Linked DNA regions of Arabidopsis thaliana. The protein of the gene in region 1 interacts with the protein of each later gene in a pairwise test. Each region holds a gene or a part of one and is shown in the gene's direction. Other genes may lie near its edges. The genes, in order: HSF1, LCBK2, TBP1 and HSBP.

Region 1 (7,240 bases):
GTCCGTGCTCATGAGCATATGTTTCGAAGAATACAATACATTTCTCTAATCAATATATAATTAAATCTCTTAGGGTAGGATTTATTGGTTGTCAAGATTCGAAAGGAATGATTTGTTTATACTTTCGTATATAATAGGATTTATATTTCTCATTGTTTATAATGTCCTTTCAGATTATCAACCCGACAAAGAATATATGATTAGATTATCAAATTGGTGCAAATTGCCGTAAATTTATTAATATGTTATTGATTAGACTATATATAGTTCATTCAAAAAGGAGAGATTCTCGCATGTCTCAGTGACTCGCTAGGTTCATCAGTTTTATTAACTCTAGTAAGAATTTTTTCCATGTATATTAGGTCTCTCTGGTCTATACATCTATATACATTGGTTTATACGTACATCGGTACATATACATACACAAATGAGACATTGTACGTTTAGTATACAGAAATGATTAGCATATCATTCGATAAATTCCCACCGTTTATATGTGTGGGTGTGTGTGCGCGACATAGACATATAAGTATATTATATAAGCAGCATTGATGTATGTTTGTATCATGATTAGGTCCACAAAAGTGTCAATACCATCATTAATGTCAATATAAATGGTAACACGTCCCCACCATATAATGCCTACAAATCTACATTAGGTGCACATACATAACAATTTGCGTATATGTGTGAGTTCTTGTCGATTCATTTAATTATTCTTCTATAAACTATTTCCAATAGATGGTAGTGATATATGATATCATGTCAACATTATTGGTAATTTTCTTTACAAAAAATGATTAAAGAAAACACACAAACTGCTAACTTTAGTATAAAATCATCACCCAAACTCTTCTTTAACAAACGTAATCATTTTCTTAAGAAGATTAGAAACACTAATCATACGATTTACTTTTTCTTTTTGTCAACATAATCATATGATTTTCTAAAATTATATTTTGAAGACTTTTTTTTGGTGTTTGGCCTCGAGTCATTTATATTTCTTTCTCTTTTGAGTGTGATTTAATAATCATGAGAAAAAAGTCCAACCAACTTTGAAATAGTGAGAAAGCTACTTGGACGTCTGTTTTAACTCCACGTGTCAAGCTTAGAACATTTAAAGGTTTTGCTTACAATTTTTATTTATTTGATCCAACCAACACCAACCCATCTCAGATATTTTCGCCAATCATAATCAGAGATCAAATTATAACGGTGAAGCTATTTTTAACTTGTATATTAAATAGTAAAATATACATGTTACACATCCGGATCCGTGGCGCAATGGTAGCGCGTCTGACTCCAGATCAGAAGGTTGCGTGTTCGATTCACGTCGGGTTCAATCCCCCGAACTATACACCCGGTTTCTTTTTTCGGTATGACATACCTATGTCTCCACTGCACGACGTCGTTCAGCGATATAACACTAAACGACGAGACATCTGAGCTAATTTAGTGAAACCACACGCAGTTTTTCTTTGCAAGCCTTAAACTTTTTCTTTCTTTCTTTCTGATACTGATACTGATAGTATTGAGAGACTGACTAAAAAGAAGAACTAGAATTACAAAGATAAAGTAACTGAAGGAGAAAATCTATTAATCAGCAGGCTCTTCAGGCTTCACAAAGAACTCTATATAAGCAATCCGACTCGGTGGCTGATACCCTGCGGATTCCACTTGTGGAGCTAAAGCTTTAGAAACTGAAACCAAGTGCTGAACTTTCAACATTCCTCCTCTTCCTATTGTTAGTTTGCTTCCCCTGTTTTCTCTCACTACGTTTCCCGGTATGTTTGCCGTTGTTGCTTTCAAAAACTTGTATTTGTACCTACAATCAACAATGAGAAGTTTAGCAAATGTATCTGGCTACTATTCTTGATTGGTAAATCAAGCGTAGGAGCGTGTGTTTTAACCATAAAGCTACGGTAGAGAAAGAATTGAGTTCATTGTTACCCGTAAGAGACTTCGGTATCACAATGAAAGGCAAGGAGAAGATCTGTGTTGGCATAATACATGAAGTCTATCTGCAAAGAGGATAGATCGAAATATGTTCCTTGATTCTTTCACATTAAGATAATATACATCACCAAGAAACAAGTGAGAAACAAGACCTGCAAGTCTCCATGTCCTTCTCCTCTAAAGATTACACAAGGGGGTTCCTTTTGAAGACTGATCTGTACACTTGAACCAGGCCATTCAAGATCATCTATTGCTTCCTTCAACGCCGCTGACTGATAGATACATTATCAATTACCATTTGAGAAAAAGCTCAGACTAACAATGTTAAACGAAAAACGATACTAAACTATGTTACTACCTTTACTGTAAAAGTAAGTGGCGCGATTCCCGCCTGCTCAAAGTTGTAGTCCCAAGTAACAGTTTCGGGAATTCTAGTTCTTATCTCAGAGTAGATGCAAGAGTTTAAGGTATCAACAGATCTAATCAAACACTCACACCAATCAGCTAATTACTCGTAATCCGTATATTCACAAAGCAAAGGATCATAGTACACATACTTGAGAAGAAGCTCCATATCAGGTCCTGGATACTTGATTTCTATAGTATTAGAATGTCCAGGTGATGAAAATGTGTTCAAGCAATCAACAAGAAGCCCTAAGCTGATTCCGAATCTCGGCCTACCTTGAGCTCCATACTCGTATTTCGTGAATAGCTACTCATATAACACATCAAACAGATTTCGGATTCAATCGAATTTTAGGGGTTTAGAAAATTTAAGATAAACTCAGAAATCGATACCTCGCGTTGAAGATAAACTTTGGCTTGAAGACAACCTGATTCTTCAACAATCAAAACTATTCCGTGTTCAGATAATTCTACTAAAGCATCCTGGAAACGGAGAAGTTTTCAGAAAATCAAAGAAGAACCCTAGATTGAATTTGGGGAGGATGGAGATAAAAACCTGGTGGCGTTTCCATCGGACGCAAGTGAGTGCATCGACCATTCCTTGAACATTATCGAGCTGGCAAATCAGGTCCGGTGTGTCTGGTTCAATCGCCGGCGACGAGGACGAACTCATTTCTCTCTCTCTCTCTCACTCTCCTTCCTCTGCTTTCCCGCCAGAAAATGTATGCCGACAATATAGCAATTAAATTGATTATTATTATATTTGTTTTAGCAGGCCCAGTTATTAATAAAGTTGATCTTTTTGGCCCACACACAAACTAAAAAGAAAAATAAAAGCCCATCTTTATGATATCGCGTTTATATCTGAGTCACAGAGAAATAAAAGGGTATGTTTGTAAATTTCAAATACTTCTCTTTCTTTATCCGTACGAAAATGGACGGTGTTACCGGCGGAGGAACGAATATCGGCGAGGCTGTGACGGCGCCACCACCGCGGAATCCGCATCCAGCGACTTTACTTAATGCGAACTCTTTACCGCCCCCTTTCCTTAGCAAGACGTATGACATGGTGGAAGATCCGGCGACGGACGCGATTGTCTCATGGAGTCCGACGAACAATAGCTTCATTGTTTGGGATCCACCGGAGTTTTCTCGTGATCTTCTACCTAAATACTTCAAACACAACAATTTCTCCAGCTTTGTTCGCCAGTTAAACACCTATGTAAGTATAAATTCTCTCGCGCCCTAATTTCTCCACCATTGATTTCTCTAATTGTACTGTGTATAGATTATGATTTCGTTGAATAATCTTAGTGCTTGATGTGTTTGATAAGATTTATATGATTCATGTGCCAATTTTGATGAACAGGGTTTTAGGAAAGTGGATCCAGATCGATGGGAATTTGCTAATGAAGGTTTCTTAAGAGGTCAAAAACATCTATTGAAGAAGATAAGCCGGAGAAAATCTGTTCAGGGACATGGTAGTAGTAGTAGTAATCCACAATCTCAGCAATTATCTCAGGGTCAAGGTTCAATGGCTGCATTATCTTCATGTGTTGAGGTTGGGAAATTTGGGTTAGAGGAAGAAGTTGAACAGCTTAAAAGAGACAAAAACGTGTTGATGCAGGAACTCGTTAAGTTACGCCAGCAGCAACAAACAACAGATAATAAACTTCAGGTTTTGGTTAAACATCTTCAGGTTATGGAGCAGAGGCAACAACAGATTATGTCTTTCCTTGCTAAAGCTGTACAGAATCCTACTTTCCTCTCTCAGTTTATACAGAAGCAGACTGATAGTAATATGCATGTAACCGAGGCCAATAAGAAGCGGAGACTCAGAGAGGATAGTACTGCTGCTACTGAGAGTAATAGTCATAGCCATAGCTTGGAAGCATCAGATGGACAGATAGTTAAGTATCAGCCACTTAGAAACGATTCAATGATGTGGAACATGATGAAAACAGATGATAAGTATCCGTTTCTTGACGGGTTCTCATCTCCAAACCAGGTATCAGGAGTCACTCTTCAAGAGGTACTACCCATAACTTCAGGACAGTCACAGGCATATGCATCTGTACCATCAGGACAGCCTTTATCATACTTACCCTCTACTTCAACTTCTCTCCCGGATACCATAATGCCAGAGACTTCCCAGATACCACAATTGACACGAGAGAGTATCAACGACTTCCCTACAGAAAACTTCATGGATACAGAGAAGAATGTTCCAGAGGCATTCATCTCTCCAAGCCCATTCCTTGATGGTGGTTCAGTCCCGATTCAGCTTGAGGGAATACCCGAAGACCCCGAGATTGATGAACTAATGAGTAACTTTGAATTCCTTGAAGAATATATGCCAGAAAGCCCAGTTTTTGGAGATGCAACTACACTAGAGAACAACAACAACAACAACAACAACAACAACAACAACAACAACAACAACAACAACAACAACACAAATGGTAGACATATGGATAAGCTTATAGAAGAATTGGGTCTTCTCACATCAGAAACAGAACACTAGTAAAGGATTATGTTTAGTATCCATTGTAAAGTCTTTCTCTACTAACATTATCGTTAGGACTCAGTAGTACGGTTGCAACTTTGTGCAGAAATCTTTCCTTGGATAATAGAAGAGTTGTATTTATTATTAAAAAGAAAATGCCATTTTTTCTAATTTATTGTAGAAAGTGACTACTTTGTCCAATCATATTTGTAGTCCTTTTTCGATAAGAAAAACAGAGTTGGAATTTTCCCGGGGAAGCTCTTTTCAATGGAGGTCCTTGCGAGCTCTTCATTATCCCCAATTTCTTTTACTAAGCCTAACAAAATAAACCCTAATTTCTCAATCCAGGTACTTTTCTTTCGTATAGTTGACTCCTTTTTAAGTTTCTCTCCTGCAATTCCCCAATTTGTGTCCGTTTAGCTGTGTAATAGAATTTTCAACCTTTGCAGGTGAAATTGTGGGTAAAACAACCTCCAAAGATTTCAAAAGCTAGCAAATTTAGTTATGCTCGTAGTCGTAGTAACATTTCAAGGAGCAATGCAGCAAACCCAGGAGTCGTGTTCGTCTGTAATAGATTTCTGTGTGTTATCGAAAGAAATGATCAGAGGAAATTATCTGGGAAGGTTATGATGAAATCTTCTGTTAATTTCAGACAGAATCTCTCTGTTGCATTAGTTCGGATCGTTTCTGTTCTGCTTGTCTCTTCCATTTCTGTTGTTACCACTGATTCACCACCATCATGTAAGTTCTGTTTTTTTTACATGTTGAGAAACCATATAAATTTCGGGGAATGCAATTTGATTTCATTTGTGTGGCTTTTTTTCTCTGTCTCTTTAGGGGGTCTTACTGAAGAGAATCTTCTCTTCCTCGAGGCTTGGAGAACAATTGATCGTGCTTATATTGATAAAACCTTTAATGGACAAAGCTGGTTTCGTTACAGAGAGACTGCTTTACGAAATGAGCCTATGAACACTCGAGAAGAGACATGTATGTGTGAATAGCTTTATTAACCTTTTACAAAATTAGTACAACTTGCTTCTAAATTTGGTGTTGGTTTGTGTTTAGACATGGCTATCAAGAAAATGGTGGCAACACTAGATGATCCTTTTACTCGATTCTTGGAGCCCGGAAAGTTCAAGAGTTTGCGGGTAAGATTTCCTGAAAATATACAGTTCTGAATTTAGCAAATAGACTGTATGTAAGATCTAGTAATTAAATGGTTTGGTTGAAGGCAGTCGGGGACTCAAGGGGCGGTTACGGGTGTTGGGCTGTCGATAGGTTACCCCACTGCATCAGATGGACCACCAGCTGGGCTTGTTGTTATATCAGCTGCTCCAGGAGGTCCTGCAAATAGGGCGGGGATATTACCTGGCGATGTTATTCAAGGAATTGATAATACAACCACAGAAACTCTTACCATATACGATGCTGCACAGATGTTGCAGTGAGTTACATTTCCATTTTTCATCATTCCTTAACTTTGAAAAATCTAAGTGTGACGAGTTAATGGTTCTGAAGTAAGAAATGATGATAATGCTTTGGTTGAAATGCAGGGGACCTGAAGGAAGTGCAGTGGAGCTAGCGATTCGCAGTGGACCTGAAACGAGACTCTTAACTTTGACGTATTTCTCTCATGCCTACATTTATCTTCGTTGTCACGTTCATTTGGTAACTACAATTGTTGTTATTTCAGGCGAGAGCGGGTTTCTGTGAATCCAGTGAAGTCAAGATTATGTGAACTTCCTGGTTCTGGGAGTAACTCCCCTAAGATTGGCTATATCAAGCTAACAACATTCAATCAAAATGCTTCTAGTATGTATTCTTTGGCATTACTGATTCCTTCTTACAAATTTATCTACTCTCTAGTTTATTATCTCTCAAAGTCTTAACACTTTTTTTGTAGGTGCGGTAAGGGAAGCTATTGAAACCTTGAGAGGCAACAATGTAAACGCATTCGTCTTGGACCTTCGAGACAATAGGTGATGATTTTTTGAGAACATAAACTCTTTTTTGCTTTTGCAACAGCCTTTCTTAAAAAAATTGTTCTTGCTGCAGTGGAGGTTCTTTCCCAGAAGGAATTGAGATTGCTAAATTTTGGTAATAACCTCATAAACCGTTACATATAACGAATTAGAAAATTTCAAGATCCACAGCTATCATAATAGAAACTTCAACATTTGCTATCCACAGGTTAGATAAAGGAGTGATTGTGTATATTTGCGATAGTCGAGGTGTTAGAGATATATATGATACTGATGGAAGCAATGCTATAGCAACCTCTGAGCCTCTTGCCGTTCTTGTATGAGCTTCCATCCTTCCTTTCCTCAAATCTAGTCCTTATTGTAATCTGTAAATGCCATGAAAGATTTCATT
Region 2 (7,989 bases), on another chromosome or scaffold:
AGATCAGTGTCCATTAACTCATAGACAATGTAGACATCATTGAAGATATCTCGTTGCGGAGGTCTTACAATATCTTTGATGGTTATAACCTAAAGAATCAAACCGAGGCTTGAAGATTAGAGTAAACGAAATTATATATAAAGAGCATTTGACCCTGAAGATCAGGAACACTTGATAGATCTAGCAAATTTGAGAAACTTAAAAGATGTTGTCAAATGTGAGAAATGATGCTTAAGGCTTACGTTCTCATGATCCATATGCCTGAGAAGTTTAATTTCACGTAGCGTTCTCTTAGCATCGATGATGTTATCAAAAGCATTACCGATCTTCTTAATAGCCACTTTCTCTCCAGTCACTGAGTTCACCGCAGCACTGAAATTCAAGAATCAAGAGCCTGTGAACATTCAATAGAAGGAACGCTTTCATAATTTATCAGACAAAGAATCAAAAGAACTTACCAGACAATACCGCAAGCGCCTCTACCAATGGGACGAATAGGAGGGACATACTTTCTGGAAACTTCAAAGAGTTGTCCATAAACGTTGTACTGAACATAGCGGCCACCGTGTGTCGGTACAACTTTGATGCAATGTTCGGTAGAACCAGAGCTTGATTCTCCAGACATGATGATGCAATGATCAGACCGAGAACGAGAGAAACCAAGAAGAAGGGCTTTTGTTGAAGTTGAAGGATCTCCTAAAGTATCTCTTGAAGACACTAAATCCATGTGAAGAGAGAAGCTTTTTTCAACTGTAAAAGATCTCTCAAGGGACCCGTGAATCTAAAGATCATGAAAGATTACATACGTGTATGGTAACAAGAAGCAGAGTCACTCGATATTAGCTCAATATTGCATTTTTCATTTGTTACTACTAATTGCACTTAACTATAGATCAAAGCCTCTGATTTGTTCCTTTGATTGAAACAGGTTTAGAAAGATTGGATCACTACAAAGAGAGCAGTGATTTTTTCAAGCCAAACAGATGTATTCTATATTTATATTTTATTGCAGAATTGATTTCATACAGTCACACATACAAGACCAACACACCTAAACGGAAGAGACAAGCTCGACAGATGGACTCAAAACAAAGAAAAAAGAGAAAACACTATTTATAGAACCTAAAGCTGCCTTTTGTAAGGGTTAAACTTGTTTGTTTACCTCACTATTTTAGTCTACATCTTCTCCAACTGCATTGCCAGAGATTGAGTCACTTGACCTAAGATTACAGAGCAACACATCGCGCCCTCTCAAAGTCAGTTTAAAGAAACTATCAACTTCCTCCAGTAACTGATCCAACCCTTGAGACAATTTCTCAGCTTGTGTCCCCAATTCCATAACATTATCTTTGAAGAATTCAACTTCGACAGGATCAACGCCATCTTGGATCATCGGGTATAGCTTCTCGACACTAGCATCAACGCTCTCCAGCTCTTTGAGAATCGTGGTTCTACCGGAAGACAACATGTCTCTGATCTCAGCATTTACAACACTCTGCATATCAGTAAAGACCTTTGCCCATAATGGTTTTTCAGAGACAGGTAAATCGAAAAGATCCTTGGTGGAATCAGACCAGGCTGCGGTAAATACACTGCAGATATAAACTGTTTGAACCTTCACACCATAAAAAGCTCGCATCAGAACCTTTCCTTTAGGCGAGTTCTTGACTTTAGGCAGACTCAGAGATTTAACAAGACTGTCTAGAACCGCACGGCAGTTTTCAATTCTAGGGTTGTTTGTATTAACATGTTGCCTCCAGCTATCAAGCGAAGATCGAGCCTGGAGATACTTCTCCCCAGAATCCGATTGTAAATTGTGCAGAACACACTTGAGGAAGAGATCTCCCTGGTTGAGACGTGTGAGCTCAGAGCTAAAGGCATTACAGAGATCTAGTAACCTAACGCTTATGTTGAGGTAAACATCAACCCATTTCTCTTCCCAATCAGAGACAGGAAGCTGGAGATCAGTAATGAGAGTGTTAATGTTCTTATGAGTCTCGCAGAGTGACTCCATAGCTAGCTTCATCCAGGATAAAGTGAGGATGTCATCTTTGTTCTTAGGCATAAGTTTCTTCAGTCTCTCTTCCAAACGTAGCTCAAAGCCGTTCAATAGAGAAAGTAGCCATGGCGATAAATCTGATCCCTTTGATGATAACATCCGAAAGGGATTTCCAAATGGGAAGAAACCTCGGGGTGGATCTTGTGGTCGGCTCATTTTGCTAGACACCTGAAAATGAAAAGAGAAATATTGTTAGAATAATGATAATGATTAATCATACAAACCGATTTGCTGTGAACTCAATGTATCTTCTGTGTTGTTGCCACACATAGAAGGACTAATCGAGGAACAATACAATCCCAAGTCCCAACCTTAAGAGTCCCAAAAAGCTGACAACTTTTGAGATCTTGAAAAAAAAGAAGTTACCACCTTTATTGAAATGATGTAAAATCAAAATTTGAAGATGAAAACAAACACATAATCAATTGTTCTAAGCCATAATCTACACTTGAAGATGTCCAGAACCAAGGAATTAGGATAAAAGTTTCAATCTTTCCAAAATTAGAAGAACCCTAGGAGTTAATTATCTACACGGAAGTTTTGAACACAGAAGTTCGGTACAAACTCTTCATCGAACAGTAAAATCTATCTTAGAACTAAACACACAAACTTCGATTTACAGAAGAACACACACAATAAAAGGAGAATTATAGATAACAAAAAAAAACTCAATTTCCACGAAACTTACCGTTTTAAGTCGCCGGAAATGAAGAAATCACAGGGAAAATCGTGTGGAAATGATTCTTCTAATGCTTCATTGAATTTTCTGAGTCGATCGGCTGAGAAAAATGTCTGGCGGAGGTCGAGTTTGATAAAGCTACGGCCCGTCACATAAAAACTAGTTACAACCTTACAAGTATACCATTAGTGAATGGCTGTTACGTTTTAATTGGTCACAGCCTTGTGTGTAGTTAAATTCTTAGCGGAAAGTGGACGGCTATAAAATAATTAAAAGTTTTATCGAAGGGCCAAAAATGAGACGATTTCGTGGGATTATAAAATAAGTCATTGGTCGATTGGCGTAGTCTTTGTTTATTTTAATTATTATAACCAAATCTAACGGCTAACTAATACATACCACGTCCTACAGACTCCTGTTATTACTTTTAAAAATAAAAACTGAGAAGATTTAATCGAAAATTAATTTTGACGATTCATTATTATTTTTGGTAGTACTTTGCTTTTTAAAAAATTGTAAAATCCTCATCAAAAAAATTTCAGCAACTGTGAATATTTTTTAAAAGGCATAACAACTTTATTTGTTTTACGTAACGAATTCCTTGGATTTGCGTAAAACATGGGCCTCAAAGCCCAAATGACAGCTGTCAAGGAACAAATCGGTCGACAAAAGTATGGACCCCACTTTTAATTTACATCCGGACAAAGACTAAAGAGCTGTCTTTATCTCAATCGTTTTTCTTGTTTCTTTAAGCCCATTAGGTATAGCTACCTCAATTTATGGGCCATCAGGTCCAAAGGGCATTTTTCCCAAAAGATTCCTAATCGAATTACGTCGATATTGAATACCTTATTGACTTTGAGACAACTCCACCATTGTGCTAGATAAAATAGGCCTTTTTAAAACTTTGAAGATAAAAAACGGCCCATAAACGTTGTGAAAAAGCCTCTCGCTGAAACAGAAGGTCTCTGTAAGTGTCTAATCGCGCGATGAACTTGATAACGGCGATGACCGGAGCTAAATTGCGGCCATACAATGCTACGATCCACTTGCTGCACTCCACTTTGCCCTTTCACGGCGAAACAACCTTCTTTCCTTAGGAAACAGCAACGTATTACCTCTGATCGCTTCACCTTTCGCGGTGGTGGTGGTGGCGATGCCGCCGCCGTCGTCTCCTCCTCCGGCCTCCGTGATCTCGTTTTCGTCGTAAACCCTCAAGGTGTGTTTGCCCTTTTACTCACTGGATGAAAAAAAACTGAGATTCGAAATTCATTGGATTTAAAAATGATGTTTTTAATATGAGAATCAATCTCGATGTGGAATTGAGGTTTAGTATTATCGTCTCTTGATTCTTTTCAATGTCTTTTATATGAGTCTAGGTGCTAATGGTAGAACAGCTAAAGAATGGAAGAAGTTGCTTCCTCACCTTCGATCTCGTCTTGGTAAAGACTGTAATGTGAGTTTTTGATTCACTTGCCTTTTTGTGCCCCTGTGTTAGTGATGCCATCTCCTTTCGCTTTCTTCAGTTCCTTCAACTGAGTTTACGTGTCTTCTTGTTTGTTTCTCCAGGTAAGTGAATTATTAACATCGGGTCCTTCTCATGCCATTGACATTACAAGAGAGGTAAGGAGTAGTGAAAGTAATATACTACTTTGCTGGGTACAGTATTCTCTGTCTTGTCGATTTGGTTTTATGATGATCCTCTGTTGCTTCTAATTATCCTCTCAGGCTATAAGGGATGGTGCAGATGCTGTCATTGCGGTTGGAGGTGATGGAACACTTCATGAGGTAGGAATTGCCATTTTTGGTTGCTAGAACTGCGCTCTGGAGATTCTTAGCTCCACTCATTCTGTCCTTTTTTTTTTTATCTACAGGTTGTTAATGGTTTCTTTTGGGAGGGGAAACCTGTCGGTTATCTCAGTGGGGAAGCTAGTCGATCGACTGCACTTGGTGTGAGTAGCTTGAGTTGACTTTTTGACTTGTTTTTGTGTATATCTCTTGTGGAGTTACAACATACAATCTTAGTCCATCCTTTTTATTTTGCAGCTGATTCCCTTAGGTACTGGCTCAGATTTTGCTAGAACATTTGGTTGGTTAGTTTTTGCAACTTCTGTTTGTTGTGTTTTTTTGAAACTTATGTTGAGCCATATGTTAAGTGTATCCTGCATTCTTTAGGAACAATGATCCTTGTGAAGCAGTGGAGCGCATTGCTAGAGGTATGTCACTGAATTCATTTGAGGAGTTAGGACTTAGTTACTACTGAACTGTCTATCTATGTCTCATATATCACATAACCAGCATTTTCTCAGGGATGCGATCACGGATTGATGTTGGTGTTATCGACAAGGAAGGAAAGGATTTGCATTACTTCATCAATGTAGCTGATGTTCATTTGTAAGCATATCGTGGAAATTTTCATCTGTGATTGATCCCTAATGATGCAAGGTTGTAAATCTGTCCTTTTGTTGCTCATTACTTGCAGGAGCGCAAAGGCAGGATTTTACGCTTCAAAATACAAGAAATTTGGAAACTTGTGCTACGTAATTGGTGCCCTACAAGCGTTCATGGGCCATCATAACCAAGATATGAGAATCAGAGTAAGCAAATTTTTTTCTGCGAAATCCCTTCTGCACCGTAGCAAGTAACTTAAAAGCATTCTGTTATTTTCTCAGGTCAATGGAGGCGAATGGGAAATATATCCCCAGGTCACTGCTCTCTGCGTTGGAAACGCAAAATACTTTGGTGGTGGAATGAAAATCACACCCAACGCCATCCCTGGAAATGGAAATCTTGAGGTGCAACTATTCGTTTTCTTCAATCTCAAATCCTATGTTGGGAATATGGTAGCTCTTGAGTCTTGACTTCTTCCCTGTAGGTTGTGGTTCTTCAAAACTTCAAATGGTATGATTTCGTACTTAAACTTCATAAGCTGTACAACGGGACTCATCTTTCGGTTAACAATGTGACTTCAAGAAGGTAATATTTTTCTTTGGCTTCTTCTCATTTTGTCCTTTAAACGACCTTAGCACTAGAAAAGTCACCACCTTTATGCTACCTCTCTTGTAGTGTACAAAGCATCGAAGTTGAAGAGATTACAGACAGTGGAAGTATCTATGTGCAGTCAGATGGAGAACATCTTGGATTCCTACCTAGAAAGTTTCAGGTGTTACCCGGTGCCATAGACATAATCAGCTGATCAAAACCGCAGATTTCTTAGGATAAACTTGTCAAGTAAAGTGTAGAATACTTCAACTTTATATTCTTCCTGTAATATGATTCATTGTTTAGCGAATCAGATTTATGCTCGTGTTACTTGTGTAACTCGTTACTATCACTATTTATTGTGTGGTCTCTGTTAACCACAAATAGATACTTTAAAACATTTTAAAGCAAAAAGTCGCATCTCCTAAATCAATCAATCACACAAAATTGAATCCTAAAAATGGTAGCTTCTCTTTCCTTTCATTCCATCGCCACCGTTAATCCAATCTTCTCCGGCGATGGTGGTCGTTCAATCTTCCGGACTAATCGCCGATTCGAAGCAACTGGAGTGAGTTGCCGAGGACAGAATCCTACTGACGAGCCACAGACAAGTAAAGGACCCGAGCCGGATAATGTTCTACTCAAAATCGCTTGGTACGGATCTGAGCTACTCGGAATAGCTGCTTCTGTTTTCCGATCTCCGGAGACTTCTCCGATTGTGACAGGCTTTGAGGTTCCTGTTGATTGTTCTGGTCGAGCCGTTCGTGTAGCTGTCGTGGACTCGATTAAACAAGACTTTAAACGATCCTACTTCGTCACAGGTCAGTGTAAAATCATCCAATCTGAATTCTGTTTCTTTTGTCTAAATCGAAATCTCTGAGTTTTCAGGTAATTTGACGCCGGAGGTTTATGAGGAGAAGTGTGAATTCGCTGATCCGGCTGGATCCTTCAAGGGTCTTGCTCGTTTCAAAAGGAATTGCACTAATTTCGGAAGCCTTATCGAGAAATCCAATATGAAGCTCATGAAATGGGAGAATTTTGAGGTACGGTCAACTACTAAAAGATGTCGGAGTAAAAGTTTCGTTTTTTGTTTCTCACCAGAGCTCCATCATGAGTTTTGCAGGATAAAGGAATTGGACATTGGAAATTTAGCTGTGTCATGTCGTTTCCATGGAAACCCATTCTTTCAGGTATTTATTTTATCAAGGAAACCTTAAAAGTTTTCAGATTTTTGTAGCCTTTTTAGGATAAAGTTTGCAACTTTAATAGCTTCAATGATTAGTAATGAAGACAAAAAGAACAAAACTTTTACTATGTCTTTTTATGGAAATCTGTTTTTACAGCAACTGGTTACACGGAGTATTATTTCGACACAGAATCCGGGAAAATTTGCAGGTAAAAAGATTACTTATGAGCTCATTAATATAAACCCCACTAATCTCTTTTCAACTTTGAAATCTTTTGTGAAGAAGAAGAAGCTGGTTAAACATATTTTGATGAATGTTGGCTTGCAGGCACGTGGAGCATTGGAATGTCCCTAAGATTGCTCTGTTCAAACAACTTCTGAGACCCAGCCGTGGTTTAGTGGGGACACAAAACTAGCGCAGATGAAGAATGATGTCAATTTCAAATTAGATTTTTTTAACCGTAAATATATGAAACTTGCTTCTGAAACTAATATGGGATACTCTGCTCTTAGAGATCTGTAATGAATCTATTCAAGATGACACATATAAACATACTATCACTGTCGCATTAAAACAAAGGTCCATTCTTCTCGGTTGGACAAGCAACAGAGAAACCATGCTTGAACCTCTTCAACCTTGCACCGTCTCAAGTTTTAACCGTACTCTATGAATTTGCATTCTCTTGAAAAAAATGATAATTCTCTAGTGTCTTAAGTACAATTGACAATATATCTCAAGCTTTTGGATACAATTGTCACTTTGAAGGCTCCATGTTCTCAGCTGCTAAAGCTGCTGCAGAAGCAGCCTTGTCAAAACCAAGCTTCTGCAACTCGGTTAAGAACCCATCGAGCTCACTTGCTGTGATCTTGTAAGGACTGTGAGAAGGACCTGGAAACACTTTTTTAGAGACTTCTTCTTTGTATTCCATTAGGGCTTTGTTAATCACTTCTCCGACATTAGCGTACTGCTTGCAAAACTTTGGAGTAACCTGTGAAATATAAGAGCATGAAACAAGAAGCATGTTGATAACGAACGAACGAACAAGAGAATGCGTTTCGAAAACAATAATTGTGTCAGGATTT
Region 3 (8,059 bases), on another chromosome or scaffold:
TTTCATTGCATGCATTGACGTATACATATCAGTATCACACCAACTGTAATGAGAACGACCCTGATATATATAATCTCTGCCTAACAGTCTAACACTAGCTAATTTATAGTTTATAAGATGTTATATACATATATACCCGGGAAGAAAGAGGAAGAAAGAAAAATGAGTCTCAAGTTCATTCTTATAGCTTTGCTTCTACTTTTATGCATCACATTTTCCAATTCGACCGTCGTTCCTTTTTCCAAAAACCGGAAAATTAGTAAGTCTTCATAACTGCATAAGTGCAAATATTGTTATTATATGGTGTTAAAATGAGGTTTGTAATATAGTTTTAACGTGTAACAAGCCAATGAAGAAGAAGAAGAAGAAGGTAGAGAGATTGACATTCACAAAGGAAAGAAGATCACCGTAAAAGTCAGCCGTTCGCCTCCTGCAAAAGGCTGGATTTGTTGCAATGATTAACTAAAAGGAGCTATGTGAACATTTTCATAAGATCCCATCCTTCAATTTCTATGAAGATAATATCGACCAAGATCAAACTTCAAAGCTTGAAATTAGAAACGTGTATTTGCTATATCTCAACCACTAATTTAAGGGGCTTTCGGCCCATTACACGCATGGGAAGATTCAATTATGTTGATTTTGTAAGTTTTGGGGCTAAAGTGTAAATTATTGAAACTTGTAGGCTTGATTTCATTATTCCAAGTTTCCACTTTTTCTCCTCCGCCGTAGCCGGTGCTTCTTCTTCGTGAAAATCTTTCGTCTGAGATTTTTTCTTTACTAGTTGAATAAAATTGAAGATTTCGAAGACTACCCAAAACCGCGTTTTACAAAAAGCCAGATTCTTTTTTTTTTTTTTTTTTTTTATAATTTCATTAAAACTACCCAATGGGCTTGGGCCGAAACTTACAAACAATTCGGTCCAGTTACAAAATTAGGGTTTTCTGACACATCGCCAGGAAAAAGAAAAAAGCTCGCCGCCTGTTGACCGTCGCTAGCAGAGCGACCAAAACCTAGATCCGGCGGACTCAAGTCCCACAGCTTTGTGGCCGCCTCCGAGAATCGTCCACCACCGACGAAAGATTCCGGTTTTCGTCTGTAGAGACTCAACTCCAACGCACCAACCCACCACAAGACTCCCGGAAAGCTAGCCGCTCCGACGTAGCGGTTCCACGGAACCGGATCCCGACCTAGCAACCCGAAACACTCAGCGATAACACTTCTCTCCCATCACCGGAAAATAGCAAAGACCCAGAGCCAAACACACGTCGATCCGGACCGGTGGAGACCAAAAACGGCAGACCTAAAGACTGGTGGCTCAGTCAGACTCTCTAGATCCAAAACCCGCTGCAGCCATCTAAGATCCAAACAGATCTACTGTTAACCACCGCATCAGACAACGAACCCCCCCTTACCCCTCTCCAACTTCCGCCGTGGACGCAGCGACTAGAATCACGGGTGAGCCTGAGAACCTCGCAGCAACCCTCAGCGTCCATAACCAAGAGACCCCCGCCGCAACCTTCTCGACCGACAAAACCAGAGCCAAATCCACATCAGAGAGAGAGCTCCACACCACACGTTGACGGAGACAAGCATCGGCTCACTCCTGGACTTCCTTGAAGAGGCTTCAAACCGACGATGAAGAGCAGATCGGAACAAAAAGAAAAAGGAAACTAAATCTACTTACCGGAAATTGTCTTCAAGAGAGAGAGAAGGGCACGACTTTCAAGGCTACGATTGAGCCTCCATCTCATAAAGCCAGATTCTTTATCTTCCATAATCGTATTAAAGCTACGAAAACCTCGATTTCGTGTTCAAAACTTGGATTTGCTCGCTATCGAAAGGTCTGACCTTTAATCCTTTTCATGGGTTTAATCGTTCAGATATGATTTCTCGTATCGGTATTATAGCTTAGAGGAAAAGTGTCGTAGTTTTGGCAGATGAAATTAAAATTGGCTCTGTATTCCCAAATAGTTGAAACCCATTTGATGAAGCTATCTTATCAGACTTTTACGCATAAGTTTTCTTGTGGTCTTGGATCGTGTCTAGTGGCAATTATCTTCTCTGAGTTCTTTTGCTTAGTTTGATTGTCTGTTGTTTTAGACGAATGGCTGACCAAGGATTAGAAGAGAGTAATCCAATGGACCTTAGCAAACATCCTTCAGGGATTGTTCCTACTCCTCAGTGAGTTCTTTTGTGCCTTTGTCTTTATTTTAGTCTCTTAAGAGTTAGTGTTTGTTTGATGTCTATGGTGAACTTTAGACTGCAAGCTTGTTTATATTTGAAATATGGAATACACCTTCTCAAAGTTAAAACCTTCTAACTTGTAATGGTGTGGTTTTTGTTTGTTTGTTTAGTAGTCAAGTCATTTACAAGATGCCACCAAGAATTGCTGCTATCCGTCTTGTAAGCTCGCATCGTGAGGTCTATGAACCATGTGATGATTCATTTGCGCTAGTTGATGCATTACTCGCTGATCGCACCAACCTTATAGAGCACAACCCTAAGATTTGTATGGAGATTGGATGCGGAAGCGGATATGTCATAACTTCACTTATACTTCTTCTTCAAAACGAAGTTCCTGGTGTTCATTATCTCGCCATTGACACTAACCCGATAGCTACAAGAGTGACAAAAGAAACTCTAGAAGCACATGGAGTTAATGCTGATGTTATCTGCGCAGATTTAGCTACTGGTCTAGAGAAGAGACTTGCTGGCTCAGTCGACGTGATTGTGGTGAATCCGCCTTATGTGCCAACACCTGAATATGAAGTTGGAATGGAAGGTATTGCCTCTGCTTGGGCAGGAGGGGAAAATGGCCGGACAGTCATCGATAAAATCTTGCCTGTGGTTGATCTTTTGCTATCAGAGAAAGGATGGTTCTACTTAGTGACATTAACTTCAAATTTCCCAGCAGAGATTTGTCTGATGATGAGAAAGAAAGGTTATGCTTCGAGAATCGTAGTTCAGAGATCAACAGAAGAGGAGAATCTCGTTATCCTAAAGTTCTGGAGAGACAAGGATGAGGAGAGCCAGGACAAAGAGACATCATCATCATCGTTTGTTTCGCAGTTTTCGAAATCCTTATCTTCGCTTATGGAGAAACAATGGCGCTGATACTACAAAGATGGCTAGAGATCTCATAAGCATGCTTTGTTTAACCAAGAATTCTCTAGTGTTTTAATTTTTATGAAAATCATGTTTTGTGTTGGTGGTGTAGTCGTAACAGTGATTTGATTTAGTGGGGTTATTGGTTAGTGGATTTTAACTGATGTGAAATTTTGATTTTCAATTCCACATTATGTGATTTGAAAAAATCAATGAAAAATTATAAATTTCTACTTGAAAAAAAATGTTCACTAAATCGCTAAATATGCAAAAATATAATAGCGTTATAACACTAAAGCTGACGTGGCCGAAAAGGAGTGGACTTTCACATAAAACCGAAAGACAGCCGTCATCGTAGCATTACCGCATAAATTTCCAAAATTACCCTCGATGTAACAAGGACGGTCAAGGGTAGCATGGGTATGTATATATAGGTATAAAGGGGCTTAAGGATCCCAAATCCGAAACGCAAGTCGATGACCTCCTCTCTCTCACAGATCTAAAAACCAGAAGCGAGAGAAACAAATTCACTCTCCCCTTATATAAGCACCGATTTATAAATCTTTTTCCCTCTTCGATTCTCAATTCTTTGTATAAAAGGCTTCTCCTTTTCTCAATTCTTCGGCTTCCTTTCGCCCAAACTCTTCCCTCGAATCTTTCCTTCTCGTCTTAAAGCTACGAAACCCTAGATTTCGGATTTCTTCGCTATCCAAAGGTCTGACCTTTAATCCTTTTCCTGAGTTTTTTCGATTAGATCTTATGAGTTTCATCACCTTAAGAGGATAAGTCTCGTTGTTTTGGAAGATGAAATCTAAAATTGGCTCTGTATTCTCAAATAATTGAAACCCTTTTGAATGATAAGTCTATCTGATAAGACTTTTAAGCATATTGTCTTGGATCGTGTCTAGTGTCTATTATATTTTCTGGCTATTGCTTATTTTGATTGTGTTGATTTTGGTTTTGTGTAACTATAGAAGAATGACTGATCAAGGATTGGAAGGGAGTAATCCAGTTGATCTTAGCAAGCATCCTTCAGGGATTGTTCCTACTCTTCAGTGAGTTCTTTTGTGCCTTCGTATTTGTTTTTTGTCTCTTGGGATTAAGTGTTTGTTTGACCCCTGTTGACATCTTTGATGTTTTGTTTCAGAAACATTGTCTCCACGGTGAACTTAGACTGCAAGCTAGATCTTAAAGCCATAGCTTTGCAGGCTCGGAATGCTGAATATAATCCCAAGGTATTTGCATTATATTGTGACTTTTTGTTTTAATAAACGGTAGAAAAGTTGTTTGGAAGAGTACTCTCTCCTTGAGTTGACCTTATTGTTACCTGAGATCTGATTGGTCTATATACTGTGTACTGATTAATTAGAATCTAAGATATTATCTGTTTTTGGCTTTTGCTAAACTAATTTGCCTTAGCTAAGCTCGTCTTATGTAATACCTCTTGTGTTTTATGTTTCCAGCGTTTTGCTGCGGTGATAATGAGGATCAGAGAACCGAAGACTACAGCATTAATATTCGCCTCAGGGAAAATGGTATAGTTATTTTGGTTGGCAATACTTTTTCATAATTCTGAAATTTAATTACATTGGTTTGAATTCTCTTCTGAATTTGGCGACTAATCTCCAATTAGGTCTGTACTGGAGCTAAGAGCGAGGACTTTTCGAAGATGGCTGCTAGAAAGGTAGATTTTTTTTATCTTTAACCTCTTTAATTTAACTTTCTTATAGATCTGTTCTTCTTTACTTTAGCAATAATTGCAGTATGCTATTTGCTCCTCATTTGTTTATGCTAATAGGAGATGTTTTATTGTTTAGTATGCTAGGATTGTGCAGAAATTGGGATTCCCTGCAAAATTCAAGGTACAATTTCTTTAAACCTTTTCCCTATCCAACATTTTTTTTCTTACTTTTGCTTATACTAAATATATTCAATTGTTACATCCTGCAGGATTTCAAGATTCAGAATATTGTAGGTTCTTGTGATGTCAAATTCCCTATAAGACTTGAAGGTCTTGCTTACTCTCACGCTGCTTTCTCAAGTGTGAGTGATCTTAACTTATACATTTAGTAGTCAAGGACCGACTTTTAGAGATAAAAACGTTGTGCTGATGGCCATTACCTCTCTCTCATATTGGCGTGTGGTTAGTATGAGCCCGAGCTCTTCCCAGGGCTGATTTATAGGATGAAAGTCCCAAAAATCGTCCTTCTAATCTTTGTCTCTGGGAAGATCGTAATAACAGGAGCCAAGGTAATATCTCACTTCTCTTTAGGTTTTGTGATAATACTTGTTATGTCTCTCTCTAGTCTCTAGCTCTTCTGTCACCTGAAAAAATCCTGAGATCACTCATTATCAGATGAGAGATGAGACCTACAAAGCCTTTGAGAATATATACCCCGTGCTCTCGGAATTCAGAAAGATACAGCAATAGTATGTAACACACCCGTCAACTTTCCTCATCTTTCTTAGTAATGTTTGATTTCTCGATTTATTCGTGCATGAACCTAATTGTTGTGTTTATCTTTTATAGGGTCACGGATTTGTTCCCTGCAAAACTAGTTGTGCGGTCTTAGCCCCTTGGAGTTGCTAAAGCTTGCTGAGAATTTTGCCCTTGAACAAAGGCTTTCACAGTAGCTAGACTCTCACCTTGTGTTTTGGTTCATAATATAACATTGTATATACACAATGGAGATTCTAAAGACAATTCTTCGGTTCTATTTTTTTTCTTTTTCTTTCCAAGATATGTCTTACATGTATGTTGCTGTAGTGTCCTCACATTTCCACTTATGTTACAAGTAGAACCTTAACTCAGTGTGTAGCCCTAAAGTCTTGTTTATCATAGAGATTGGCCAAGATTGTGAACAAAGATGGAGAGTTTCAAGATCATAGATTAAATAACAAAAGTGGTGATTACAGTATCCATTACATGTCTGAACCACCAGCATCAATAATTATTTCGAAGATAGGAGACAGAGAATCATGTGTACAATGCTAAGATGGGCTAGTAATTCACAGTGGATCTGATTGCATCCAATATCTGCATCAAATTGTGAGCCAGGGAAGAATTAGCAACAAAAACGAAAATATATGTATAAGATACAGACCAGAAACAAAACTTGCCTTGTTCTTGGTTGGCATGTAGAAAGGTTCGAACACTAGAGGGAAAGGAGTGTCCAGGCCACAAACTCTGCTTACAGGTGCTTCTAACTGCAAAAGTAACCAGACATGTAAGCAAATATGAAAACCAGACATTGTTACCAAAAATTATAATGCTGTAGACAAATATGACTTGTTTTTACCCTCAAGAAGCAACGCTCAACTATAGTTGCAGCGATCTCGGCCCCAAAGCCTCCTGTAACAGGAGCTTCATGGCTAATCTGCAACCGAAGTAAGCAAACACATTTATTCTCTGAGACTTAGGACAATGATACTCACTCAGAGAAGCTTAACTTACAAGAAGTCTGCCAGTCTTTCTCACTGAGGTCTCAACGATTTCCTTATCCCAAGGGATCAGAGTCTTGAGATCTATCAATTCACACGATATTCCTTCCTGCAAAAACATTTTGTTTCATCATCTGTATCGCCAAAGACTAATTAAGTGCAAAACATAAAAACTAACGTTTTCTGCGTCAAGACATGCTTGTTCCATGATAGTGAGCTGTGCTCCCCATCCAACAAGAGTTATGTCGGAACCTTCTCGCATAACCTGTGACAAAAAGTTTTCATTTATTAGTCTTAGAAGTGTACTAAAAGAAGAGACACTAGAAATGGAACCTATATACCTCTGCCTCAGATAAAGGTATCATATAGTCATCTTCAGGGACATCCTCTACCGCTTGACGATATAGCCACTGAAGAAGAAGAACAAAGGATCAAAGACTCTTTTACAGGTTCTTGAAGTTGAAAATAACTCAAGAAGTAGTACCTTTGGTTCGAAAAAGACAACGGGATTCGGATCACGGATGGATGACAATAATAATCCCTTAGCTTCCCGTGGACTTCGAGGAATAACAACCTACCCAAAACATGCAATTTTCATATACACCTAAGAATATGAAGCAAATAGAGAAAGAAGAAGCTTTAGTAAGAAGATGTACTTTGATACCAGGGACATGACAAAAGAAAGCTTCAGGGGACTGCGAGTGGTAATGTCCACCGTGACCAACTGCTCCGTACGGTGCCCTAATAGTGAGTCCTACAATTGTCACATAAACCCCAATGAGTAAAAACTTGGTGTCTCATAACCAAGAAGGCACAAGAAGATATGAGTTTACCTCCACAGTTAAACTGGTTTCCACTTCGGTATCTGAACTTTGCAGCCTCATTAACAATCTACGAAATCACAAAACTCCATAAAGAGAACTCATGCGTCATCATAACTTGGTTTAAAGGTAAAGGTAGCATTTTTACCTGATCAAAAGCCGGGAAAATATAATCCGCAAACTGAATTTCCGCAATAACTCGATTTCCCTGCAAGCGAATAAGTAACCAGTAAGATGATGTGATAGCAATGAGAGGTAAACAGAAGAAACAAAAGAAGAGAAGAAGTGACCATTGCAGCTAAACCAATGCCAAAGCCAACAATGCCTTGCTCGCAGAGAGGAGTGTTGAAAACTCGAGATTTCCCAAAACGTTCAGCTAATCCTGTTGTACATCGGAAGACACCACCAAATCCAACATCTTCCCCAAAAACATAAGACCTTCACTCAAGTGACTCCAAATACATTATAAAAACCAATTCAAATGTACCTTAGACTTTAGGATTGAAAAATGCGAGAAAAGCTCACCGAGGATCGGTCTCTAAAGCGATGTGAAGAGCTTGATTAATAGCAGAGTATAGATTCATCGATTTACCACTTTCAGATACATTTTCAACCGTCGATAGCATCCTATATCCATGACCAGAGACCGGAAAAGATGATCCCCGGCAGAATCTGCGTACAAGAGCTGC
Region 4 (7,480 bases), 880 kb from region 1:
CCTCGGGCTGTTTTGTCTTTGGATGATGATGAGTTTGATGAAATTTTGGGTAGTATGATGAAGAGGCTGTGCTGTTGGGTGTAACTAAGGCTCCAGGTGATGAAGAAGCTGAAGTTGAAGATAGAGGGTCGCAGTTTGGAGATAAGGGAGTGGTTATGAACCAGAGTGTTCGGATTCTTTTATAGGTGATGTTGATTCTGAAGAGGTGAGAATGAACTATTCAGATAAATTAGATGATGGTTTGATGTCCTTTGGGAATATTGAAGAATCAAGTCTCGGTGTTCCACCAGAAGGTTCTAGTGATTTTATGGCAGAAAATGAAGGGAACTCTAGTGAGGCGAGTATAGAATTGGGTCAAAATTTCAAGCAACTCATCGAGAAAGGGGATAGTAAAAGTACCATCAACAAGGAGGATAGTGGTGGTAGCATTCATGAATTTGACGCATTGATGAAGCCAAGTGATGTAGAAAGAGTAGAAGATAGTGCAGTTGAATTAGCAAAAATGGGAATGAATGATAAACCAGAATACGCAGGTTCTAATATAGGTGAACTTGTATCCATAGAGGAAGTTATGGTACAAGAGAAATCTTCTGACAATGTGTTAGTGTCTTTTGAGAGTAGTCTTGGTGTTATGACAGGTGAATGCAAGGAGTTTCTGGTGGAAAGTGAAGGAAACGCTGTTGATGAGGATAAAGGATTAGATGAAACTGTAAGCAGCCTTGTCGAACAAGGGGTGGGTCAAGCTAGTACCAGCAAGGAGAGCAATAACAGAACTGATGTTGGTAGTGTCTGTGATGCAGATGAATTGATAATTCCACGTGACGAGTCTATTGGATCAGAAAGCAGAGACTCAGGGGATAAAGACGCTGGAAATATGATAGGCAAGGCAGAAGAACACTGTGAAAATGATCGTGGTGCTGTTAGCGAATTAGAAAAACTTGAGTGCGCGGATGAACCTGAAATTGGTATGAGTTCTGAAAGTTTTCAGTTAACTCCAACTTCAGATTCTGAAATGATAATGAACCTTGAGGTCGCTGGAGGAATAGATGTCGTTGTAATTGGTTGTGGTTCTTCCGATCAAAAAGCTGAAGAAGAATCTGAAAATGAAGGAAATCAAGAATCAGACGATACTGATAGGAAGTTGTCACTTCCTGATGAAGATAGAGCATCAAGTTTAATAAGTTCCTTTGAAACAGCCAATGAGACTGTGGAAGATGGGAATCAATTAATAAGCAGGTCAATTTTCAGTCTGATAGCGAAGCAAACCAAATCTCAGTGGGCATAGAAGAAACCAGTTTGCTTTCGGTTAAAGACATTGAGAGGACCATGCCTGAAAACTCTTCCGTAATTGCTTATGATATAATGGAAAATGAGACGATGGCACGGCTGATTCATAATCACACTTTTATGGAGCTTGACGAGTACGAAGGAACAGGTGATACAAGTGAGAAACTCACTGGATCCAGTTTCCAGAATTCTTCAGAACTATTATCCTCTAATCATTCTGTGGAGCTGATAAGTGAGAGAGTGAAGGAAAGAGTTGAGAAGACTCAGCTCTTGAAGGAAAAGCTCCAGAGGATTATAAGAAGAACATGTCTTAGCCGTGAAAATTCAACTGTTACTAAAGTTGCGTCTAAGATGAGCCTAGCTGGTGGAGAACATCCAACGTCCTTAGGGCTTGATCACATGTTTGACGGAACAAAGATAGTGCTGCCTGAACAAGAGTTTCCAGCTGATCTAGACTTCTCCATTAACGTCCTTGTTATCGGGAAAACTGGGGTGGGAAAAAGTGCAACGGTTAATTCTATTTTTGGGGAGACTAAATCTGCTGTTGGTGCATTTGGAGTTACCACTAACTCTGCAAATTATGTTGTTGGGAATGTAGGAGGAATCCAGATAAGTATACTTGATACGCCAGGACTCTTGTCCTCTGCAACTGAGGAACAGTTTAATCAGGAAGTCCTTATGTCAATAAAGAAAAGCATGAGAAAGTTCCCAGTTGATATCACCTCTATATTGACCGTCTAGATGACACTCCAGACATCCGTTTACTTAAAATCATCACCAGTTCCCTGGGCTCGTCAATATGGAAAAATGCTATCGTGGTTCTAACTCATGCAGCTTCCGATGTTGTAGATTCTTTAAGCTACAAGGAGTTTATTTCTCAGAGATCTTCTCTTATGCATCAATCAATCAGACAAGCAGTTCCAGAGTTAAGCTGTATAGACCAGAGCAAGATGCCTAGGAATTGTTCTGGCAGAGAACAACATGAGCTTCTTCTCCGCAAACAAAAGCAGCGAATCTACATGTTCGGATTGGAGATTGAACTTGCTGATCTTATGTTGCTCAGTTAAGATCCGGTCTAAAGCCGGTTCTTTGCAAAAGCAGAATACCGATGTAGAAAAGGCCGGTGTCTTTGGCTCCCAGCTTAGCTCTTTCACTCTATTCTGTTCCTTGTGGAATGTGTTACTTAACTCAGGGCACACTTCTCATTCACATGATGATTTGGAGGAGAAGAAAAGGAAATTACTGGATTCTTACCCTGAAATTATATGGGACGAACAGAGTCAAGAATGTCTCGAGCAAGAAACACTTCTCGTGGAGAATCAAGAATCAGAAGACGTGGAGAGACAACATGAAAAAGGAACTGTACTTGGTCGTGTAAGAACCAGAAGAGGAAGACTTGGATTCCAAGCAACAAAAAGGTTCGGTATCTATCTAGATACATCTGATGTGCACGCAGGGTTTTCCATTGGAAGCCGAGACTGTAGAAGAAATGTACAAGAAGAAGGGAAGATCTTGGTGAGGATGAGAGGCTCCATGTCTGTTTTAGGTTTGGTTCCTATGTTGATATCCGTATTCACTTCTGGAAAAGATATTTAAAATTGGAATTTGCTCTTGTTGTAGAAGTTGTAACATATCAGATGTGATCGTCGTGTCTTTTGTATTCCATTGATAATACACGAAAATTAACTATATCAAATACCAATGGTGTGAGGATAAGCAACATTTCACTTGTCTCCTGATTGTCTTGTGGTCAGGTTTGTTACTTCTTCCTCTATTGGGTTGTGGAGGATTAGAATCTCTCACATGGAGATAAGATGCTTATGTATGTCTTTTGGTTGTAATCATATAATTATATAAATCATGTGTTTCATTTCTCTTGTAAAATCATGATAGTGTTCAACAACCTCGTTAATATATCTATTGATGGTAAGAAACAAATAGGCTGTTCCAAATCTACATACTTCAGTCATCAATGTGTCAGGGTTTATGCCATTAGTGAGATAAGTCGTTATACAACACAATTCGAATTGGTCTGCCTTTAATCATCAAGAGGAACAAAAAGTTAAGCCAAATTTACAAATAAGATGATTACAAATAAATGTTTGCAGATTTGAACATCCACAATAATGATTTGAATCATCCTAAGATCTAGATCTCAATACCAAACGTACATAAAAATATTTGAAATTTGAATCACACACACATGATCCCACCCAATCGAATCATAACGATAGAAACTAAAGTAAAGAGGGGGCATTTTGGACATTGTATACCTATAAGGTTGGGGTTAACAGTAACAGCGTTTCTCTTCTCGTTTTATAAACATCGCATCACTCTTCTCCTCCGTCGTCTCTCATCGCTTTTCGCTGAAATCAAAATTTCTCCAGTTTTCCGATCACTCGCAAGAAAACCCTAAAAATGGTAAATATCCGCCTCCTAATATCATTGCGCTTTTTCGATTTTGCGTTTTCGTTCACGAAACCTAGGCTCGTTTATTCGGATTTGTCGATTGCATTTAAGGATATATCTTCGGATTAGGTTTTTTTACGGTTTAGTGGGAATCTCGCATGATATTCTTATGGTTGTTCTGTTATTGTAGATCAATTATCGAAATGTTGAGTTTATAGTGAAATCTGGACGATTTAGAGCATCTTTTGCTGGGTTACAATAAGATTTTGCATTTGCTCGATTTTCTGTTTTCATCTGTGGATTTTGAACTTGTGAATTCGGCTTTTCAAGAACTCTAGTATCGTGAAGTCCAGGATCTGATGGGGAGATTCAGTATAAGTTAACTTTTTCGTCCTTTTTCTTACTTAGAAATGTTCATGTATCGAGTTTGCTGTGTGTAATGCTAGTAGTACTAAGAAAGTTCAGATAGAAATATTCTCAATGGGCAATAGTTCATGCTTGTTTCTTTCCTTGTAACAATTTTTTTTCGTTAGTATAAAGCTTCAATTTCTTGTCCTGATGATTGTTATATTTACTGTGTCTTTGAGTTTCTTCTTACAGTTTTTTTTTTCTTTTGCTGACAGGATGGTCATGATTCTGAGGATACTAAGCAGAGCACTGCTGATATGACTGCTTTTGTGAGTATTCTCGTTCTCTTTGTTTGGTATTTTTGTGACTTTGAGACAATTTCACTTGGTTTATCACTGAATCCTTGAATTTTTATATGCAGGTCCAAAATCTTCTCCAGCAGATGGTAGGTTTTTCAGCTTTTATGTCTTCGTAGGCCTTGGAATTATACCTTCAATAGGTAGATTTTGATTAAATTTGGTCACATTTGTGTGTTTCAGCAAACCAGGTTCCAGACAATGTCGGACTCCATCATCACAAAGAATATCCTTATATCAATCTGTGGTTTTACTTGAGTGTTGCTTGAAGTAGAATATATGAAATGTTTCCCTCCTAGAACCAGTAATGATGATTGATTATTTGTGTCTTCAAGGAAAGAAGTTTAGTACTAGGTATTGAGAATTATCATTAGAATCTGTCTATTTTTCTGATTAAAGTATTTCTTGAGAGTCTAAATGTCTATTCTATGGGTAGTAGCACATGGTTCTATGGTATTTTCTCTTGTTAAGTTGCTATTATATGCATGCTTGTTCTTCTGCTCGCTATATATTCTAAACAAAAGCAACTTTATCACCATGAACTGATACAAGTTTGTAATCTGTGGTAACTCTTTGATCAGCAATCTTGTGTTCATGACATTGGTTTTGATCTCCTTGACTTTGATTTTGATTTGATGGTTCACTTGATGACATGGGAGGCAGAATCAATGAGCTGGAGCAAAGCATCAATGATCTAAGAGCCGAGATGGGAGTAGAAGGCACTCCTCCTCCAGCCTCCAAATCAGGCGATGAACCCAAAACACCGGCTAGTTCCTCTTAAAAAGGAATGTGGTGTTCATTGACATGTCCGAAGGAAAAAGAAAAACTATGAAATATGTTAAGAGCAGGCAGTATTACTTTTAAAATTCCTGTTTTAAGAAACGAGTTTGTTGTTTATTAAAGTTCATCAAATAGATTGATGATGTGGTGCATTACATTATTCTCCACCTATGAATTGCATTTCTATTTTGGTCTTGAGAGAACTAAGAAGTCTTCTTATGCTCCTATAATTCATATTACTGTCGATACTTAAACGCAACTTATCAGGGGGAATAGACAAACCAAGTTCATTGTTCCATTTTTGGGTTTGATTCCGGTTTTATTTTTTCAGATTTTGAATTTAGAAAAGGTTAAAGTATAGGAGCCATAGTTAGACTGATCGATTTATCAAAATCGAATCTCATAGCTGTATTAGGCTTTGATTATTTCGCATTTGTGTTTACATGAAAAAGGTCGGTAGAAATTTTTTAACAGTCTATTTTTGCCCAATGTGAATATATTTTCAAAGAGGATATGTTTAGCCTGCGTTTACAACTAAAAACAAAAGTTGTTTAAAATGTTGAAAATTGCAAGGTTTCAAAGAAACACACTAGATAGAAAAGTAGTCACAAGACTATCATTATCGAATAAATCAATAAACAACTGGTGATGAGTTGGTTTATGCTTGTCATGAGGTATGAGTTTGCGGTCCAAAACCCCTTTTCTCCAAAACTTTGGTTTTTATTTCTCTGTGACAAAGCCCCTTGAGGACCCCGGAGGAGCAAATAAAGTGTATCTTCGAATATCAATGCTTTGTTATTTTGTTTTGACTATTTTTTCTCCAAATCAGCCTCCCTCTAATTATGGGGAGTAAATTTAGTGTCTTCCCCCTATTTTCTTTTCTCATCATCTTTACATTGTGTAACGTTTTCTTCTCTTTTGAGTTTTGACAATTTTTCTCCTCCAAGTGGCTCCATGACTCAGATTCTTTTGACATATTGCTGATAGACTTTAATGTAATTTGTATTAGTTTTAAATAAATGAATCGAATACATAAGATTATAAGAAGAAGAAAAAAACGTAATAAATACGCCACGTGTGTGTGGTTTCTGGCGAAAGTATTTGCCATGTGAAGCTGCCCCTTTAGTTGGCCCCAACCAAATACCAATTATTGCCTCTTCTCTTATTTTCCCACTTCTCCACATTTAATACTATTTCTCTTAATACACTATCTCATTATTCAACCCGATAAAATAAGGAAAATACCAAATTTGATTTCTTCCCCAATCATACAAATATTTCCCTTCATACAAAAAAAAATGAAACAACTACAATTTTAATATCCATATAAATTCCAATATGAACACCTGGTTTTTTCTTCAGCACATGCAAAAAGCACCCATACATAACATTTGATATATTAATCAGAAATGTATAATACATCTATATATATTTCTGTTCATATATCAAACTTATATTGAGACTGTATGAAACTATATTGCAATGCAAAGTATAAACATAGTAAACACCAATCAAAACAAATAATAATCTGAAAAATTGTATAAAAATCAAAACAAAAGAATTTGAGAGTAAAAATTTTAAAGTACATAGAGAAAGAGATTATCGCCTGCAACGAGTAATAGCGCTACAGCCACGAGAGTAAGGATTAGCCTGAGCTCCACGTCGGCAATTGTAGTAAGATGCGCCGCGTCGTGAGCAAGGAACTGTGTTTCTCCTCAGCGCACCGTAGCTTATATACTTCGTTGTTGCTAAAATACGCCTGTTGATCTCAGAGTCCATCTCGAACTCTTCCTCCGCCGTGGATAAGGAGCACTCGGCGATGGTACCGTTGCATTTCGACTCGATCGGTACGAAATCGCCGGAGGATTGGGAGGTTACGGCGGCGAATAAGAAGTGGACGGTGAGAATTGCGATGATTATCGCAACGGGTTTTGTGGAGAGTCCTCTCATTGTTTCTTTCTTCTTCTTTCTCTGAGGTTTTTTTTTTTGGAGGTTTCAAAAGTTTTATTGAAGAAAGAGAAAGAAATGGTTTAAAAGAGAATGAGTTATTGAAATTGCCACTAGGATTTATATTATTTACGATTTATGCCACTTGACACTAAAAGTTGTTTAACGCGCTTTTCCCACTAAAGTCTAAATTTTCGTTTTTGACTTTTTATTTTTTATTAAATTAGGATAAGAGATGAATGACAATATTATATGTGACGCATTTTACTTGAATATGCTACCAACTAAATGAAAGAAATTTTATATAAGGCTCGAATTTGAAATTAGTGGAATTGATAAATTTTGAATGAATG

The links.
Region 2: the proteins of HSF1 (region 1) and LCBK2 interact in a two-hybrid assay, tested with the Arabidopsis thaliana proteins (one study listed by BioGRID).
Region 3: the proteins of HSF1 (region 1) and TBP1 interact in binary tests that used the Arabidopsis thaliana proteins (3 or more experiments, as listed by UniProt).
Region 4: the proteins of HSF1 (region 1) and HSBP interact in a two-hybrid assay, tested with the Arabidopsis thaliana proteins (one study listed by BioGRID).

The regions. Positions count from the first base shown.
Region 1 is NC_003075.7:9,867,614-9,874,853, reverse strand, and holds HSF1 (heat shock factor 1), read left to right. Parts: upstream 1-3,207; 5' UTR 3,208-3,250; coding exon 3,251-3,583; intron 3,584-3,730; coding exon 3,731-4,885; 3' UTR 4,886-5,036; downstream 5,037-7,240. Other genes in the region: AT4G17760 (PCNA domain-containing protein), read right to left, coding at 1,597-1,825, 1,951-2,021, 2,109-2,228, 2,315-2,435, 2,514-2,668, 2,755-2,844, 2,918-3,034; AT4G17740 (Peptidase S41 family protein), read left to right, coding at 5,135-5,215, 5,317-5,608, 5,705-5,854, 5,933-6,015, 6,103-6,311, 6,421-6,489, 6,561-6,679, 6,771-6,846 and 2 more. UniProt on the Arabidopsis thaliana protein: Transcriptional activator that specifically binds DNA sequence 5'-AGAAnnTTCT-3' known as heat shock promoter elements (HSE).
Region 2 is NC_003071.7:18,947,146-18,955,134, forward strand, and holds LCBK2 (Diacylglycerol kinase family protein), read left to right. Parts: upstream 1-3,656; 5' UTR 3,657-3,773; coding exon 3,774-3,957; intron 3,958-4,117; coding exon 4,118-4,194; intron 4,195-4,307; coding exon 4,308-4,361; intron 4,362-4,466; coding exon 4,467-4,526; intron 4,527-4,612; coding exon 4,613-4,690; intron 4,691-4,784; coding exon 4,785-4,831; intron 4,832-4,913; coding exon 4,914-4,954; intron 4,955-5,047; coding exon 5,048-5,132; intron 5,133-5,220; coding exon 5,221-5,335; intron 5,336-5,410; coding exon 5,411-5,533; intron 5,534-5,613; coding exon 5,614-5,714; intron 5,715-5,804; coding exon 5,805-5,934; 3' UTR 5,935-6,130; downstream 6,131-7,989. Other genes in the region: MPK12 (mitogen-activated protein kinase 12), read right to left, coding at 1-89, 243-372, 459-727; BPS2 (BPS1-like protein), read right to left, coding at 1,172-2,215; AT2G46100 (Nuclear transport factor 2 (NTF2) family protein), read left to right, coding at 6,181-6,541, 6,609-6,763, 6,844-6,910, 7,064-7,115, 7,235-7,322; KPHMT1 (ketopantoate hydroxymethyltransferase 1), read right to left, coding at 7,662-7,895.
Region 3 is NC_003074.8:4,376,231-4,384,289, forward strand, and holds TBP1 (TATA binding protein 1), read left to right. Parts: upstream 1-3,562; 5' UTR 3,563-3,823; intron 3,824-4,082; 5' UTR 4,083-4,086; coding exon 4,087-4,163; intron 4,164-4,255; coding exon 4,256-4,343; intron 4,344-4,571; coding exon 4,572-4,643; intron 4,644-4,741; coding exon 4,742-4,792; intron 4,793-4,925; coding exon 4,926-4,970; intron 4,971-5,058; coding exon 5,059-5,151; intron 5,152-5,256; coding exon 5,257-5,358; coding exon of another isoform or gene 5,359-5,421; exon of another isoform or gene 5,422-5,464; coding exon 5,465-5,538; intron 5,539-5,638; coding exon 5,639-5,639; 3' UTR 5,640-5,994; downstream 5,995-8,059. Other genes in the region: AT3G13437 (uncharacterized protein), read left to right, coding at 118-259, 347-462; AT3G13440 (S-adenosyl-L-methionine-dependent methyltransferases superfamily protein), read left to right, coding at 2,108-2,184, 2,358-3,117; DIN4 (Transketolase family protein), read right to left, coding at 6,110-6,145, 6,229-6,315, 6,408-6,485, 6,563-6,658, 6,728-6,814, 6,891-6,959, 7,034-7,123, 7,206-7,303 and 4 more. UniProt on the Arabidopsis thaliana protein: General transcription factor that functions at the core of the DNA-binding multiprotein factor TFIID.
Region 4 is NC_003075.7:8,984,565-8,992,044, reverse strand, and holds HSBP (heat shock factor binding protein), read left to right. Parts: upstream 1-3,383; 5' UTR 3,384-3,705; coding exon 3,706-3,708; intron 3,709-4,319; coding exon 4,320-4,373; intron 4,374-4,465; coding exon 4,466-4,489; intron 4,490-4,583; coding exon 4,584-4,626; intron 4,627-5,044; coding exon 5,045-5,181; 3' UTR 5,182-5,447; downstream 5,448-7,480. Other genes in the region: AT4G15810 (P-loop containing nucleoside triphosphate hydrolases superfamily protein), read left to right, coding at 1-52, 186-1,236, 1,323-1,967, 2,232-2,883; RALFL33 (ralf-like 33), read right to left, coding at 6,780-7,130. UniProt on the Arabidopsis thaliana protein: Negative regulator of the heat shock (HS) response. Affects negatively HSFA1B DNA-binding capacity in vitro. Involved in acquired thermotolerance but not basal thermotolerance. Crucial for seed development, after fertilization and during embryogenesis.